Linked DNA regions of Sus scrofa. The protein of the gene in region 1 interacts with the protein of each later gene in a pairwise test. Links are inferred from orthologs where the notes say so. Each region holds a gene or a part of one and is shown in the gene's direction. Other genes may lie near its edges.

Region 1 (8,083 bases):
TGTTTGTTTGTTTGGTTGGTTTTTGTCTTTTTGCCATTTCTTGGGCCGCTCCAGCGGCATATGGAGGTTCCCAGGCTAGGGGTCCAATCGGAGCTGTAGCCACAGGCCTACGCCAGAGCCACCAGCAACTCAGGATCCGAGCTGCATCTGCCACCTACATCACAGCTCACGGCAACGCTGGATCCTTAACCCACTGAGCGAGGCCAGGGATCGAACCTGCAACCTCATGGTTCCTAGTCAGATTCGCTAACCACTGAGTTACGACTGAAACTCCCGAAACACAGTGTTTTAATGCTTTAACTCAATATATAATATATAATACATAATGCCTCGGTAACATTCGGAGCCTCCTGCACTGAAGCGAGTCTCAATAGACAAAAACAAACAACCACTAAGACTATGGAAAGTTATTTTTCACAATCATTAGGATAGTCCAGCCATGACTAGGGTGACTGAAATTATAATGATCAGTAATAATGGCTATTTATTGAGCGCTTATTCTGTCAGGGACTGTGCTAAGCGCTTTACAACAATCATTTCCTTTAATCCTTATAACAGCCCTGTGACATGGCTATTGGTATCTTGACCTCACAGCTGAGAAATCTGAGGCACCAATACCTTTTAAAACTTGTCCAAGAGCAAAGCAGACAAAGTAGCAGGACTGAAATTCAAATCCAGATCTGACATCAGAGCCCAGTACTGGACACGAGAACAGCTGATGAATAAAATAAATAGGAGTTATGTTCCTATTACTTGTTTCGGGAGGAGTGAAACAGAACACCTACCAAACTGTAAAGTATATATAAATCAGTAAGTACAAACTAACATATCACTGTGCCCTACTACCTTAGAAAGAATACATCAGGAGAGACCTTCTGAAGAAAGCAAATTTTAAAGATGGTCGGGAGATGCATCAAGGCAGGAAGAAAAGCCTGTGTGAGAGCGCAAAGACAGGGAGAATAGTAGGACCACTTTTGCAAAGTCTGGCGGATGAGGATTGTCAGGGGCCCGGTCAAAGGCTTTAAACCAGCAGTTCGTGCATCACGAGCTAATTTCTGCTGGAGGGTATGCTCTTCAAGGACAAGGCATGTCTCAATGAAACTGTAAACTCTTTCGGTGTTAGCTGCAGTGTTTGAAAATGCAGTGCGAGGGATTAATGTGGAACATTTGTAATGTTGGTATTTGTATGATGAATGGCTAAGTCAGGATAAGATTTTATTCTCATATGCTAATTCCCAGGGAGGGATACTTCACCATCTTTGAGGGCTAGACATTCTGACAGTGTGAAACAGTAAACATATTTTGATTGAGGAACAAGAATTTACTATGGGTAGAGCACAGTCTGGCTGCCATTAAGGATGGTATAAAAGAAGAGAGATACGCTTTTTTTGTTGTTGTTTCGTTTTACTTTATTTTTAGGGCCGCACGCACAGCATATGGAAGTTTGAACATGGAAGTTCCACATCTGGGACCTACACCACAACTCATGGCCATGCCAGATACTTAACCCACTGAGGCCAGGGATGGAACCCACATCCTCATGGATACCAGTCGGGTTTGTTACCACTGGGCCACAACGGGAACTCCCGAGATATGGTCTTAACATAAGTGCTCTTTACCAGTAGTTGGGGAGCCAGAACACCCAAGAGTAACCTTGGGAACACCCGAGTAGGTGCAAAATAACAGTAATAGTGTGAAATTAAATAAGTTCTTTTGTGCAGTTCAACCTAAGTAGGCCATTTAAAGGTGTTTATGGTAAACATTAAAACCTAAATACTAACAGCTGCCTGTGTTATTACCAGCCCAGGATACACCCAAGGAGAGTGCTAAATAAGGGTCTGGAACTCTAATCCTTCTGAGTCCTCTGCTTAGCACAACAATCAGATGTTTACCTTCTGCTGCTTTGTTCTTTAGTTCAGCTCCAGGGGGAAATCTCCATCTTAGCTAGCCTCAGGTGAAACGGGCTCCAGGATCCTAACTTAATGACTCTTGGATTTTTTTTTTTTTTTTTTCCTCCCAGTCTCTGGGCAAAGCTTTACTCCACACAAGGCTTTTCTCCCAGCGAGGTTAAATCCTCAACGCTTGCTGTTCACTTCTCAGCCTTTTCTTACCGCTCTTCTGCCAACCTTACATCTTCCACCAACTTCTCCTTTCTAGGCAGCTAACATCAATGCCTTTCTGAGCTCCAGCTTTACTAAAAATATTCCTTCCTCTTCCTCCAACTCCTGACTCAAGCGTCTGGATTTCGAGAGGTCACTTGGGCTAATGGGGTTCAATGCTTTTCCAACTCTGGTACCGCGCACGCGCGCACACACACACACACACACTCATCCCGAGGGCCACCCAAGGCTCTCAAACCCATACAGGATGAGGGGACGAAGTGGGTGTGCTCACCACAGAGCTAAACTGGTAATTCTTTGGAGCAACAGTTTCTGGAGAATGGTTGTGTCTCCTTTCGCGAGTGAACGGATCAACATACTTGCGGTTCGCTAAAGGCAAGGACAATGTCTCCTCTACCAGACAAGAAACTTCTTCATGAAGGACGCTACCTTCTTTCTGTCCTTTCACAAGCCCCCATTCCCAGCACTGTGAGACACCGAATGGCTCTTAAAATAGTTTCTTGTGCAAAATAGCCCTTCCCAATTTTGAGTTTATGTGATAAAGGGAAACGTCCTTTAGCCAATTCGGCGACTAAGGGGTTAAACCTCAGCAACCTGATGGATTCTGGGGCTTTCTTTCCTCGACTTCAGAAATTAAAACCAAAGGGAAGGGAAATTTTGCCCATTGTAAAGATGAGAACTGTTAACTTCAACTGTCAGGCTTCTGCCCCAAACAGGAATGGCTACCCACGCCTACAGAGGATGCCATTCCCCTAACTAAAAATGGCGGGCCCCAGTTTCCACTGTCGCTGCCACTTTCTGCCCAATTCCAAAATGGCTCCCGCTAGCCTCACCGGAGGGGGAAACCTCCCAGAATCCTCTCTGGCCCTAACGTCAGGTGACGCAAGCCTCAGCCGGAAGTGGAGGAAAAAGCGCCTCAGCCCGCGGCGCCTGCGCAGAAAGGTCTAGACGCTGTGAAGCAGGAGGCACTTGGGATCGTCCGCAGGATTGGGACTGCTACAGAGGCCGCCACGGAGCCCGCCGGAGCCACCGTTCCCACTGCTGCTGCCGCCGCTGCCCGAATCGGAACCGTCGGGCCGCAGCCGCCGGCAATGCCGCGAAGGAAGGTGAGAGGAACGGGACAGGAGGGATGGCGGGTTTCTAAAGGGCAGTCGATTGAGAAGAGTGACGCAGTTGGCCACGCCTCACAGTGGTTGGGTTCCAACTTCCCGCTTCCCTGAACCTAGCTCAGCAACCCTCGCTTCTGTCCATACCCAACAGAAAAATGTGGGCCCGACTGTGGCCTCGGCCTATGCTTGCACCTATTCCCGCCCTCTGCTTGCCTGGCTCGGAGGCGTTCTTCTCGGCAATTGGTCGCTGAAACGTCTAGAAGCATGTTGATTGGCTGGCGACACCGCCCATTTGGGCCCAACGGTCACCTCCCCGCGTGTGGGGGCGGTGTCTAGGCCCGGCTCTACCGCTCTCCGACTGGATGTAGAGAACGATCCCTCTTCTCTTGATTGGCGGGGCTTGGCAGTCTGTCCTGTGGGGGCGCGGTTTAGCGGGACCGCGATTGGGTGGCACGAGTCCCCTCCCATCCGTATGGTGATGCTCATAGGAGGAGAGGCGGGGTTTGGGGAGTATCCTTCCTTTCCCCGCGGAGGACACAACAAAGCAGAGGACTGGGTGGTAGAGAAGCAGCGCCCACTCCCGAGGGATCCCTTCCAGGCCTGTTGCACCTAAGCTGCGGTTTTCCCTTATGTGCTTAGTTGGACAGCGCCTAGAAAATGAAGTTCGTAAATCGGAAACTTCCTAGAATTAAATGGGACTTGACGATGTCATCTAGGGACACCCCCATCCCTTTTCTCAGCTAAGCAGAGGCTTAAGGGAGTGCCCCAAGCCACTCAATTAGGCAATGACAGAGCCTGGACTACAGGACAAATCTAATTCAGTTCAACAAACGTTTATTGACTCTTCGCTATGTGCTGGTTGCCGAGGACTCGAAAATTAATTAGACATGATCACTGGCTTAAGGAATCAGAGTCTGAGAGGAAAACAGACATTTAAATAACTGTAGAAGGGTTTAGTAAATTCTCTACTTGGCAGTAATAAAGATTAATGGGAGGGAAGTGGAGCAATTTAATCTGCTCTGGAGTAAGATGGGAAGTAGTTGGTGAAAGCAGTAGAGGAGAGCTGAGCTCCAGGGTCATGCCAGGAAGGGATGGGCAGAGATGATTAGGGATTCAAATAGCTGGGTAATTGGATTGGATGACCTTTAAGACTCCCCTTTCATCTTAATTTTTGGTGATTCTCTGTGGATCCTCCACTCATTTCCTGGCAGATTATCCTTGAAATATTTGGAACGCTGGGTGGTGGTCTTGCTCATTTCTGCAGAAATCTTTCTCTTCACAGAGGCTTTCAAATATTTACATTTTTTAATGTCTCCAAAATGACCTACATTGATAGGTGGTATTTATGTTAAGGCTCACCAAATAGTACTGGTGTCTTGGAATAGGCCCACAGTCTCCTTTTTGCAATCCCCAAGTACAAAGAGTTCTTGAAAATGTGTGTTTTTTAGTAACTTATTTCTTGGCAGAACCTGTTCTAAACTGTTCTGAGGCTATTTACAGTTTTTGTGTCTCATTTAGTGTGATTGTACATATATTTTGCTGCAGAAAGGGTGTTATTTGCAGGATGTATGCAGACTATTCCTTTCTAAAAAATTATGAATTCTAAACACATCTGATCCTAAGGGGGCTTTTTGTTTGTTTTTGCTTCTTGTATGTTTTTTTTAAGCAAATGCATCTCTCTTTATGGTTTAAAATTTTTTTTGCTTTTTTTTTTAGGGGTGCATCTGTGGCATACAGAGGTTCCCAGGCTAGGCATCAAATCAGAGCTACACCTGCTGGCCTACGCCACAGCCACAGCAACGCAGGTTCTGAGCCACATCTGAGAGCTACACCACAACTCACAGCAATGCCAGATCCTTAACCTGCAACCTCATGGTTCCTAGTCGGATTCGTTTCCTCTGCACCACAGTGGGAACTCCTCTTTATGGTTTAATAAAGGGTATGGTGTTAGCATAGGAGGGTACCCCAACCCTTCTGGCTTTGCTCTAGGATTCCCTGGGAAGGAAAGAAAGTTGGAATTTAATACAGAAAGCTGATGATCAATAGGTGATAATAAGTTGAGGGAGAAAATGTAACATACTTTGAGCACTTAAATTGTGCCAATTTGGTTACTGCTGTATGAGCATGCTGCAAAATGGGAGAAAAACTTCTGTTTTTTCAAACAAGTGTTTAATGCTTAATTGATAAAAGTTATCTTTATGGTTAATTGTGTCTCTGGAGGCTGATAATTGACAAATAATATTAACTGTAAAGGTGATTTTAAAAAACCTTCTGTTTTTGCATACCCATGTGTCTTCGTTTGCAAACCACTCCCTCCCCCCTTTTTAAAAGCACTTTTGGGGTACATGTGGAGAAACTTCAAAGGGAGATGACATAAGTAAGAAGAATTACTATTTTTCTCCCTAAGTTTGAGATCAGAGTTATAGACCATGATATTTTGAATCAGTGTGTGGTTTTTAATTCATTTTATTTTTTTATTTTTTGGTTTTTTTTTTTTTTTGCTTTTAAGGGCCATACCTGCAGCATATGGAGGTTCCCAGGCTAGGGGTCTAATCAGAGCTACAGCTGCCAGCCTGCACCACAGCCACAGCAATGCAGGATCCGAGCCACATCTGCAACCTACACCACAGCACATGGCAACACCGGATCTTTAACGCACTGAGCGAGGCCAGGGATCAAACCTACAACCTCATGGTTCCTAGTCGGATTCGTTTCCGCTGAGCCACGGTGGGAATTCCAGTGTGTGGTTTTTAAAAATGTAATAGCTGTTTATGTAGACTTTGAGCAAAAGCTACTCCAGAATTAAGTGAGGCTGTCACTAACATTTTTCTCTTTACCCTGGACTTTGTATAAGTGCATTGTTATGTCAGCCAGACTATTTTGAGTTCTGTATTTTCCAGTTTCCAAATCAATTTGTTTCAGAACTAATGATGATACAGTAAGAATTAATTCTCTTTATTTATTTAATAAAGATGCACTATTCGTAGGTTGTTCCATTTAAATGCTCTAAATGAAGGGAAATTGGCTGTGGAGTCCTTTCTTAGATTTGAGCTTGGTGTTTTCAGCATCACAGTTTGTTTTATTTCCAGTGTTATTTCACACCCACGGAGTTAATGTTTCTGTGCTAATGTCTGGATCTATGGTGTTACAGAGGAATGCAGGCAGTAGTTCAGATGGAACCGAAGATTCCGATTTTTCTACAGATCTCGAGCACACAGACAGTTCAGAGAGTGATGGCACTTCCCGGCGATCTGCCCGAGTCACCCGCTCCTCAGCCCGGCTAAGCCAGAGTTCCCAAGGTAAAAGGCCGCTTCCTTCTTCCTGATCACACCTCACAGCTCACTGGTCATCATGTTACTGTGCTAGTTCATGTGGAAACTGGTCCCTTGACGTGATGCTGATGACAGAATCTGGTACAGTGCAGAGCAAATGACTGCTAAAGTGTCAGGTCCTTAAGGATGGTTCTGTTGGGGGTCCTGTCCAATTGTAGACCCGGAAGAACTATCTCTGGTATGGTACATTTGTGACACCTGTATGTCTTGAGTCTTTTAATTTTTTATGGATTACAGTTTCCCTATAAAATGAGAATGGTATCTTTTCACTTTTTGTTAGAATGGCCTAGGAACTTGATAAAGTGGTGTCTCGAATGTGCTATTGGAGGAGGCCTAAGACCTTTAAAACCATGTTTAATTTTGTACTATAGTCAGGTGCACAATCAATACAGATGACCCAACTATCAACTATAATAGTACCCAGAATTTTGCTATGGTAGTAAAGAATAGAGAATCTCGGTGTTGGAAGGTTCTCTAGTACAGTTAGCCATCTGGTCTTAGATTTGGAGGGTACCCACTGTCTTGGCTCTGCTCTGAGATTCGCTGGCAAAGAAAGAAAGTTGTGAGTAATACAGAAAGCTGATGGTCAATAGGTGATGATAAATTAAGCGGGAGAAGTATACTCCGAGCACTTAAAAGTGCTGATTTTTTTTTTGCTGCTATATGAGTGTGTTGCAGACTGAGGGAGAAACATCTGTTTTTTCAAGCAAGAAAGTGGGAACATTCTCTCTGTGGTTATTCCTAACTTTATCTTTGAATTTAATATTTCAGCTGAAGTATAGATAATTGTCTCTTGATTTCTCAACTTCTACGTTTGTATTTTGGGGCATAATGGGAATATTGATAAACGGTTGCTATAATTCAGGTATTATGCAACATAGTGGGATACTGTGATAGAAAAATCGGAGTTCCTGCCCTCAAAGAGCTCACAGTGTAATGTGGGATGTCAACTCTTATGGCAACGCATTGTGCTAAGGGCTGCGAGAGAGGTTTGCATAGAGTGCTGTGGAAGCCTAGAGATGGAAATCTTTAAGGATCTAGGAGGAATTTACAAGTTGAAAGACAAGAAAGTGTTATTATAGGCAGAGGGTACAGAACATGCAAAGGAATGGGCATAAATGCTCTTAGTATAAATGGCCATGCCAAAGTTCCTGTTGTGGCTTAGTGGAATGAACCTGACTAGTATCCATGAAGACAAGGGTTTGATCCCTGGCCCCGCTCAGTGGGTTAAGGATCTGGCATTGCTGTGACCTGCGGTGTAGGTCGAAGACATGGCTTGGATCTGGCGTTGCTGTGGCTGTGGTGTAGGCTGCCAGCTGCAGCTTGGATTTGACCCCTGGATGTGAACTTCCAAATGCCACCGGGTGTGGCCCTTAAAAAAAAAAAAAAAAAAAAAAAGCCATGCCCTGGTCACCTGAAAGTTATAAATATTCAGAACAGATAGGAATTACATGAGCTCTGAGTCTTTTTCTAATGACTGTACTTCATGAACACTGAGTGCCACAATGGGAGGGCACTGTTC
Region 2 (7,416 bases), on another chromosome or scaffold:
CACATCCTCATGGTTCCTAGTCGGGTTTGTTAGCTACTGAGCCACAAAGAGTACTCCAAAAATAAGTGGAATTCCCATCATGGCTCAGTGGTTAACAAATCCAACTGGGAACCATGAGGTTGAGGGTTCGATCCCTGGCCTTGCTTAGGGGGTTAAAGATCTGGCGTTGCCGTGAGCTGTGGTGTAGGTCGCAGATGCGGCTCGGATCCCACATTGCTGTGGCTCTGGTGTAGGCCTGCGGCTACAGCTCTGATTAAACCCCTTGCCTGGGAACCTCCATATGCCGCAAGAGCAGCCCAAGAAATGGCAAAAAAGATAAAAAAAACAAAACAAAAAACTGGCCTTTTTATTGCAAGTACAAATATTGCAGATGTGCTTCAGTGCTGTGTCCTTGAAGGCTCCCTTTGGAAAATGCCTTCCCCACGCACAGCAGACATTCCCCCCATTTTATTGTGACAATTTGTGTAGGAAGAGTTGGAAGAATTATGAGCACCATGTACCCACCACCTAGAATCTGCCTTTGAAACTCAAATCTCCCGTGTGTCCCTCTGCCCTCCCATCAGTCCCTCTGATCAGAGTGGTGTGTTTCCCTTGCTTCAGGTCAGCTGCCAGCCTGGAGTGAGGTCTTCGGGAACCCCCGGAAGCCCTGCAGCCCCTCCTCTGATACCCCTGAAAGCCGGGTCCGGGACATCTGGGAAGAGCTGGGTGTTGGCAGTAGTGGCCACCTCACCGAGCAGGAGCTGGCTCTGGTCTGCCAGAGCGTCGGGCTCCGTGGACTGCAGAAGGAGGTGAGGGGGTGGACTGACTGCCCTGAAGGGCCAGGTTTTTGTGGTGGTCACAGTTGGTGGTGGGCCTGGAAATCCCTTAACCCTCAGATGCTGATTCAGTTGTCCCTTTCTGGTCTAAAGTCTGTGATTACTCCCAGGACTTGTACCAGAGGCCCATCTTGGGCCACACGTGGCCCTGGCCACCTGCATGCAGGATTCTTCCTCTGCCTGGAGCACTCCTTTCCCTCCTGCGGGGCCTGGGTCTACTGCCCAGCCCACATGTGGTGCCCGCAGTCTGGCTATGCTACCTGGCAGCTGTGTTCACCCCTTTCCTCCTGCAGGGCCTAGGGGAGGGGGGCCCCACCGAGCTGAAATGCTCTCAGCCCTGCCCTAGCTGAGCCTAAGACTCTGGGGGCCCAGGCCGCGTTCCATGCACACATGTCCCGCTATCCAAGCTCCTGCACAGTGGACATGGACTGGGTGATTGTGGAATCGGGAGGCTCAGGTGCTCATTGACAGCAGGATGGAGACTGACCAGGCGTCTGGATTTCTCAGGCCAGAGCAAGGAGACCAGGGAGACTCGGACAGTGTGTGGACAGGATAGCACATGCTTATTGGGCTGTGGGAGGGGGGCAGCTGCTGTGGGGGAGCCTCTGAGCAGGTGCCTGTGGGCTTTTATTTAGGAACTTGAAGACTTGTTCAACAAGCTGGACCGAGATGGGGACGGCAGAGTGAGTCTGGAGGAATTCCAGCTTGGCCTGTTCAATCACGGGCCCCCTCAACTTCTAGAATCTTCTATTCTTGTCAAACCGAACGGGTCCTGGTCTCATTACCAGGTAAAATCAGAGAGTTAACTCTCAAACCCTGGAGTGAGTACTGTTGCTCTCTGGCTCAGCATTTTGTAGGCCTGGCTCCTCAGCCTGGTCACTACGGCAGGTGCCCAAAAGTTGGGGGGGTGGGGGTGGCGTGTGCACACATCTTGGCGGTGGGAGGTGGACATCGTGGGCTGATCTGGCATTGCTGCTGCCTAACTGCACATCGCTGGCCTCATGAAGGGTCTTAGGGTTCCCCGGCAGCCCCCTGATGCACCCAGGACGGGGTATGCTACATTCCAGCAAGACCACCGCCCCCTCTTCCCCAGTGGTGCAACCAGGCAGTCACTGATGGGTGGTCTGTGCCTTCCCCAATTCCCACATATTATCCTTTGCGATGCCAGCCAGAAGAGAACAGGATTTAGGTGGTTATTTACATTGTGATTTTGTTTGGTGCATCTGGTTTTTCTCAATCCCAGGAGAGTCAGACCCCACCCCACCCCCACCATCACCACAGGGCCTTGCTGCCCTGGGGAGCCTCGTTGGTGATCCTGAGTTTGTGGGTGGCCGTGTGGCGGTGATGACACTGTTCTCTGTTGGGCTGGCATGACCAAGACTCAATCAGGTTTCTGCATCTGAAGCCTGAGGTGGGTGGGGGACAGGGACCAAGAGTGATGAGGGCTGGCGTCAGGCCACCTGGAAGCAGGGACCATGTACACTTGTGCCCAGAGTCAGCACCTCCCAGGTAGATGCTGATGCCTGCCTGGGAGGTGATGACATGGTGGGAGCAGGTGTACCTCACATGTGGGCTGAGATGAAGAGTCTTCTGCTCAGTTGGGAGCAGTGGGCCTGGTGCGGGGGGGCTCTGCTGCAGAGAAGAGGGGGCTCCCCTTGTTCTGGCCCGACAGCAAGTGTGTGTCTGAAGGGTCCAGCCCTTGCTGGGGCAGGAAACACAGCCAGGAGGGGATCCTTGTGGGTTCTTGCAGCACTGCAGACTCAGTGTTCACCCTCTGGGCCCAGGGGTTTTTGCCCTTGTCTTTAAGCTCCTGGCCACTCAGCCACAGTGGCCTATCTTGAATCCACTTCTCGGGCCATCTCGCCTCTTCTTCTGAAGCTTGTCTTGGGTTTCTTTGGACAGATTGGGTTTCCCTCCACCTCTGCGAGGCCACGGGGAGACCACTCCTGGTTTGGGGAAAAATTACCTTGGGGGCATCCCCTGCACAGCTTCACAAACACACCTCAGCACCTTTAGTCCCTGGAGCAGGAAACAGGGCTATGCTCAGGCCTTGGTGTGAATGCGCCAGCCAAGCACAGGTGGTGAGGCTGGGAAGGGGTTGACATGAGGCCTTTGTCCCCACATGCAGGTCTCTGAAGAGGGCGGTGGCCAGACCACGACCTCGTCCCTCGTGTCCGTGTGCTCCGGCCCGCGCCTCTTCTGCAGCGTGGACGATGGTACCGGCTTCGCCTTCCCGGAGCAGATCATCGCCCTGTGGGCGCAGGAGGGGGTTCACAATGGCAGAGAGGTCTTACAGGTTTGGACTGGATCCCGCAGGCTGCCCCAAAGAGGTGCCCTGGCACATGCACAGGGGAGGCTGGACACAGCACCTCGTGGACACAGGCCCTTTGTAGGGAAGGCCAATCATAATCACTGTTTAATTTTCTGATGTTGAAATTTAGATCTTAACCTAAAAACCTAATAAATGGCAGAGAAAACCATAGCCTGAAACAAATCACTTTGAAGGAAGGTTTTGGTGTCTTAGACACTCAGCCCCCGGAGCCCATCTGCTGACCTGGAGGAGGGAAGGGTGTCCCTATGACTCCCTGGGTCTGAGCATTTCCACTTACCCAGGATGAGCTCTGTGGTGACCCAGACCCCGCCTGGGGCACCCGCCCCACCAGCTGAGCTGTGCTCTCCCCAGTGGCCCCCGACCTCCCTCCCCGGGTTGTGTACGAGGAGGCCTGTGTCAGTCACGTCCTTCCCAACCAGAGGCTGAGCCCAGGTCACTGAAACGGGCCCCCAGGAAGGGCAAAGCGAGAGGGGCTCATGGTTTCGAGATGCTGCTCTAATCCCCTGCATTGGAGGTTGGCTGCATCAGGGTCTGACCTGCCTTGAGTCTCTCCCTTGCCCCTGACCCTTCAGGACTCACCCCTGCTGTCAGAGAATATTCCCATCGCTTTAGCAACATAACTTTCCAATTGCTCAGGGTTTGATTCCATTTAATTGAGAGGCAGTGATGTTACTCCCCTGAGCACCCCAGCACCAAGCAGGGACCACCAAGCCTGTGACCTTATGTACCGTACCCCTCAGAGCCTCCCAGGTGTCTCTCCCGATACAGGGTGGCTCCCGGGCGCTGGCAAGTGGTCAGGGTGTCCTGACACAGCAGGTCCATGCCTGCTGGGACTGCCTGCAAAGGCCTTTCCCTTGGGGAGGGAGCCCGCTAGGTGGGCCCTTAGCCTGGATATGCTGGCAGCACACCTGGCTTCTTGGGACCCCTGGGTGCCTGGGGAGCCCCCCACCCTGTGCCTTCTGTGCAGAGCCCTGACGCCCTCAACACAGCACTCAGAGCTCTACCTAAACCCCTTCGGCACCTCTGTGTGTCCAGGATGCGTAGCCATCAGCGTCCGGCCCTGGAAGAGCAGACATGGTTCATGTTTCTGTGCTACCAGCGGGACAGACGTTCCTGTCCTGTTCCTTATTGTGGGAAAACGCATAAAACAAGTCTCTTCTATTCTTTTCCCTTTTCTGCCCCACTTGGAGCGAGGGTCACTCTCTAGGCTGCTCGTCTCTGAGAAATCCTGTTTCCACCAGCAGGACCCTCGCCTAGTCCCACATCTGTCCACATGGTTAAGACATGGATTAGTCAGTGTTCTTTGGGTCCGAAAGAGCAAAAGCTCGACTCAAACTGGCTTGAGGAGAGGAGGACGTTGGGGGCCACCTGTGTGGTCATTCGGGGGGAGGGCCGTTCCGCGTGCTATCAGGACTCTGCTGGCCTCCTGGTGGCCTTGGCCTCAAGCCCCTTATGCGGCCGCCTCCCCATGGCCACGTGGGCTGTACAACAACTGATTTCACAGGGAAGAGGCCCTCTCTAGCCTCTCTGTCAGTCCCCAGTGTCCTCTGCTTAGGACATGCCCCCTATGTATCTGTCATTTTGTCCAAGGAGGAGGATACTATCCAGCCTGAGTCATGCCCACCCCTGAGGCAGGGACAGTGCAAGGGGCCCCCCTGTTGACAGGGGTAGGGCCAGGGCTGTGCCCAAGAGACAGAGACTTTGCAGATTGAAGAAGGTAGGTGCTGGGACCGTGTGGTCTGAGCCTTCCTGTCCTTAGGGAGCCAGGAAGCATCTAGAGACCCACTCATCCTGCCTGGCCAATGGCCTTGCTGTTACAGAGCCTGGACTTCAGTGTGGATGAGAAGGTGAACCTTTTGGAGCTGACCTGGGCCCTTGAGAACGAGCTTCTGACAGTGGACGGTGCCGCCCAGCAGGCAGCCTTGGCCTGTTACCGCCAGGAGCTGAGCTTCTGCCAGTAAGAGTCCCATGTGGGATGCAGGGTGCTGTTGCCAGGCTGGCTCTCTGCCCACCCCTGGCCACCCCAAATGGCGAGTCCTGGATCAGGTGGCAGGGAGACAGCTGGCCCCTGGGAGCTGCTGAGGGCTCCCAATGCCACGTGTGTCTGTGTGTGTCCGTGTGTGTGCTCCCAGCTGTGTCCATTCAGTGGCTGCTGCTTGGGCTTTATGGCCACAGAACTTGAGGGTCACCAGCCAGCCCTCACACTTGGTGAAAAGCTTGGAAAGCCACTCAGCCCCTTTCACAGAGTTCCAAGGGGAAGGGTTTAAACATCTTATTGTTTCTTTTATTGATGTGTAGTTGGTTTGCGATGTTCTATTCGTTTCTGCTGTACAGCAAAGTGATTCGGGTATACAGACTTTCCTTTCCAGATTCTCTTCCGTTGTGGTTGTCACAGGATGTTGACCATGGTCCCCTGTGCTATGCAGAAGGTCCTCGTTGTTTTTCTATCCCTTGTGTGAACTTGAAACTCATCCTGCTGACCTGGGGCTCCCCGCCTGTGGGCACAGCCTCCACTTGGCTGGGAGGTGCTTCCAGGGCTTCCCAGGCTGGTGGGAGGAGGAAGGATGCTTCCAACATGGTCACAAAGCACAGCGTGATGTTGGGCCAAGAACATTTTAATTGGGCTTGGCTCTAGTCGAGCTGACATTTCAGGCCCTCCGTCTACTCAGCAGATTGGCATAAAGGTTGTTTTTGTGTTTTTATTGATGTTCTGAGGCTACAGAAAAGGTTGGCAGGAATCACAGTCTCCATCCTCAAGACTGTATTTCATTAGGTCTGACAGATGAGCCTTCTGACATCAGGCAGCTCTGCACACAGGACCAGAGAAGAAAGAAAGACTGTGCTTTGGGAGGGGAGGGAAAAAAAAAAGCTCAATGCTTCTTTAGTGGGAGAAATAGCTACCAGAATAGCCGGTGCAGGGGGTTCCTGCTATAGCGCAGTGGGTTAAGAATCTGACTGCAGTGGCCTGGGTTGCTACAGCAGCACAGGTTTGATCCCTGGCCCAGCACTGTGGGTTAAGGATCTGGTGTTGCTGCAACTGAGGCATAGGTCACAGCTGGGGCTCAGATTCAGTCCCTGGCCCAGGAACTTCCAAAAAAAAGAATAGCTAGTGCAGGAGGTGGTTTGCACAGAGCCTCTGGGAGGGCCTTGGGTGACCAAATAGACAGGGCCATGCATAGGAATCTCCTTCCCTGGGTGACCCCTTGCATACACACTTGAATGCTCAGCTACAGGTGGCAGGGCTGAGACCAGGTGGGATAACGGCTAGCCTGCCTTCTCCCCTTCCTGCGTCCAGTCCCAGGTTAGGTGCTGGGGATTCTCAGGGTTGGGAGCCCTGCTGCAGGCAAGAGGGGGCACAGATAAATTCTTGCCTGTCCTGAGGCTGTGCAGAGGCATGGTGTGCTGCATGCTCTAAGCTGCTTCATAAACCTGCTAGAAACCGCTTTGCGAGGTAGTTGGCCTCTCCCTCTGCATGTGCCTCTGTAGAAGAGGCACAGAAACTGTAGAATCCGCTCTGGACGGAGGTTGGTTAGAGCCCAGCACTGGCTGCTGCTCAGCACCTGTCAGGCCAGCTGTATTTATTCCTGTAGACAGGTTCATGGGCCCAGAGCAGGGTCCCCTCTGACCCACCTCCATCCTGTAGGGGAAAGGTGGAGCAGCTGGCCAGGGAGCGAGACAAGGCCAGGCAGGACCTGGAGAAGGCTGAGCAGAGGAACCTGGAGTTTGTGAAGGAGATGGATGACTGCCACTGCACCTTGGAGCAGCTCACGGAGGAGAAGATCAGGTGGGTCCCAGTGGAGGGCCTCCAGTCTCACCAGAGCCAGTAGCAGTCTAGAGGGAGCGCCTGGCTGATGTCCTTCCTTGAGGGAAGAGGGTGCGTTTAGGAAGAGAGGCCTCTGGGTGTATGCCTGTGATGAGCGTCTGCAGGGAAAGTGTCCTCTACTGGCCTTGCTCTGCTCATCTCTCAGGTCTGAGTCCTCTGCATGTGACTGTGATCAGTGAGACGGGTGGACCGGGGAACAGCTTTGCAGCCTGTCCTCAGCGGCGAGCTGAGCAGACCTCTGTGAGTTGGTCGGGCTTGTGATGGACAGACTAGAGGAAAGGAGTTCTGATCCTTTTTTCAGGGACACAAAACCACCTCTGGTTAATTGGCCAAAACACTTGAGAACGTCCAGCCCCTGTAGAAGGGAGATCTCTGTTTCCGGACAGTTGGAGGGGGGCAGGTGTTTGCTCAGTAAGGAGACTCACAGCAGTTTGTGGGTGTCGCTG

The links. The genes of interacting proteins can lie anywhere in the genome.
Region 2: the proteins of KAT7 (region 1) and NINL interact in a two-hybrid assay, tested with the Homo sapiens proteins (2 studies listed by BioGRID and IntAct). The two-hybrid records come from large-scale screens. The link is inferred for Sus scrofa from reciprocal best matches to the Homo sapiens genes KAT7 and NINL.

Annotation. Positions count from the first base shown.
Region 1 is NC_010454.4:25,967,908-25,975,990, forward strand, and holds the start of KAT7 (histone acetyltransferase KAT7), read left to right. Parts: upstream 1-3,249; 5' UTR 3,250-3,858; coding exon 3,859-3,891; intron 3,892-6,380; coding exon 6,381-6,528; intron 6,529-8,083. UniProt on the Homo sapiens protein: Catalytic subunit of histone acetyltransferase HBO1 complexes, which specifically mediate acetylation of histone H3 at 'Lys-14' (H3K14ac), thereby regulating various processes, such as gene transcription, protein ubiquitination, immune regulation, stem cell pluripotent and self-renewal maintenance and embryonic development.
Region 2 is NC_010459.5:31,113,650-31,121,065, reverse strand, and holds part of NINL (ninein-like protein), read left to right. Parts: intron 1-600; coding exon 601-788; intron 789-1,450; coding exon 1,451-1,603; intron 1,604-2,943; coding exon 2,944-3,111; intron 3,112-4,967; coding exon 4,968-5,104; intron 5,105-6,790; coding exon 6,791-6,931; intron 6,932-7,416. UniProt on the Homo sapiens protein: Involved in the microtubule organization in interphase cells. Overexpression induces the fragmentation of the Golgi, and causes lysosomes to disperse toward the cell periphery; it also interferes with mitotic spindle assembly.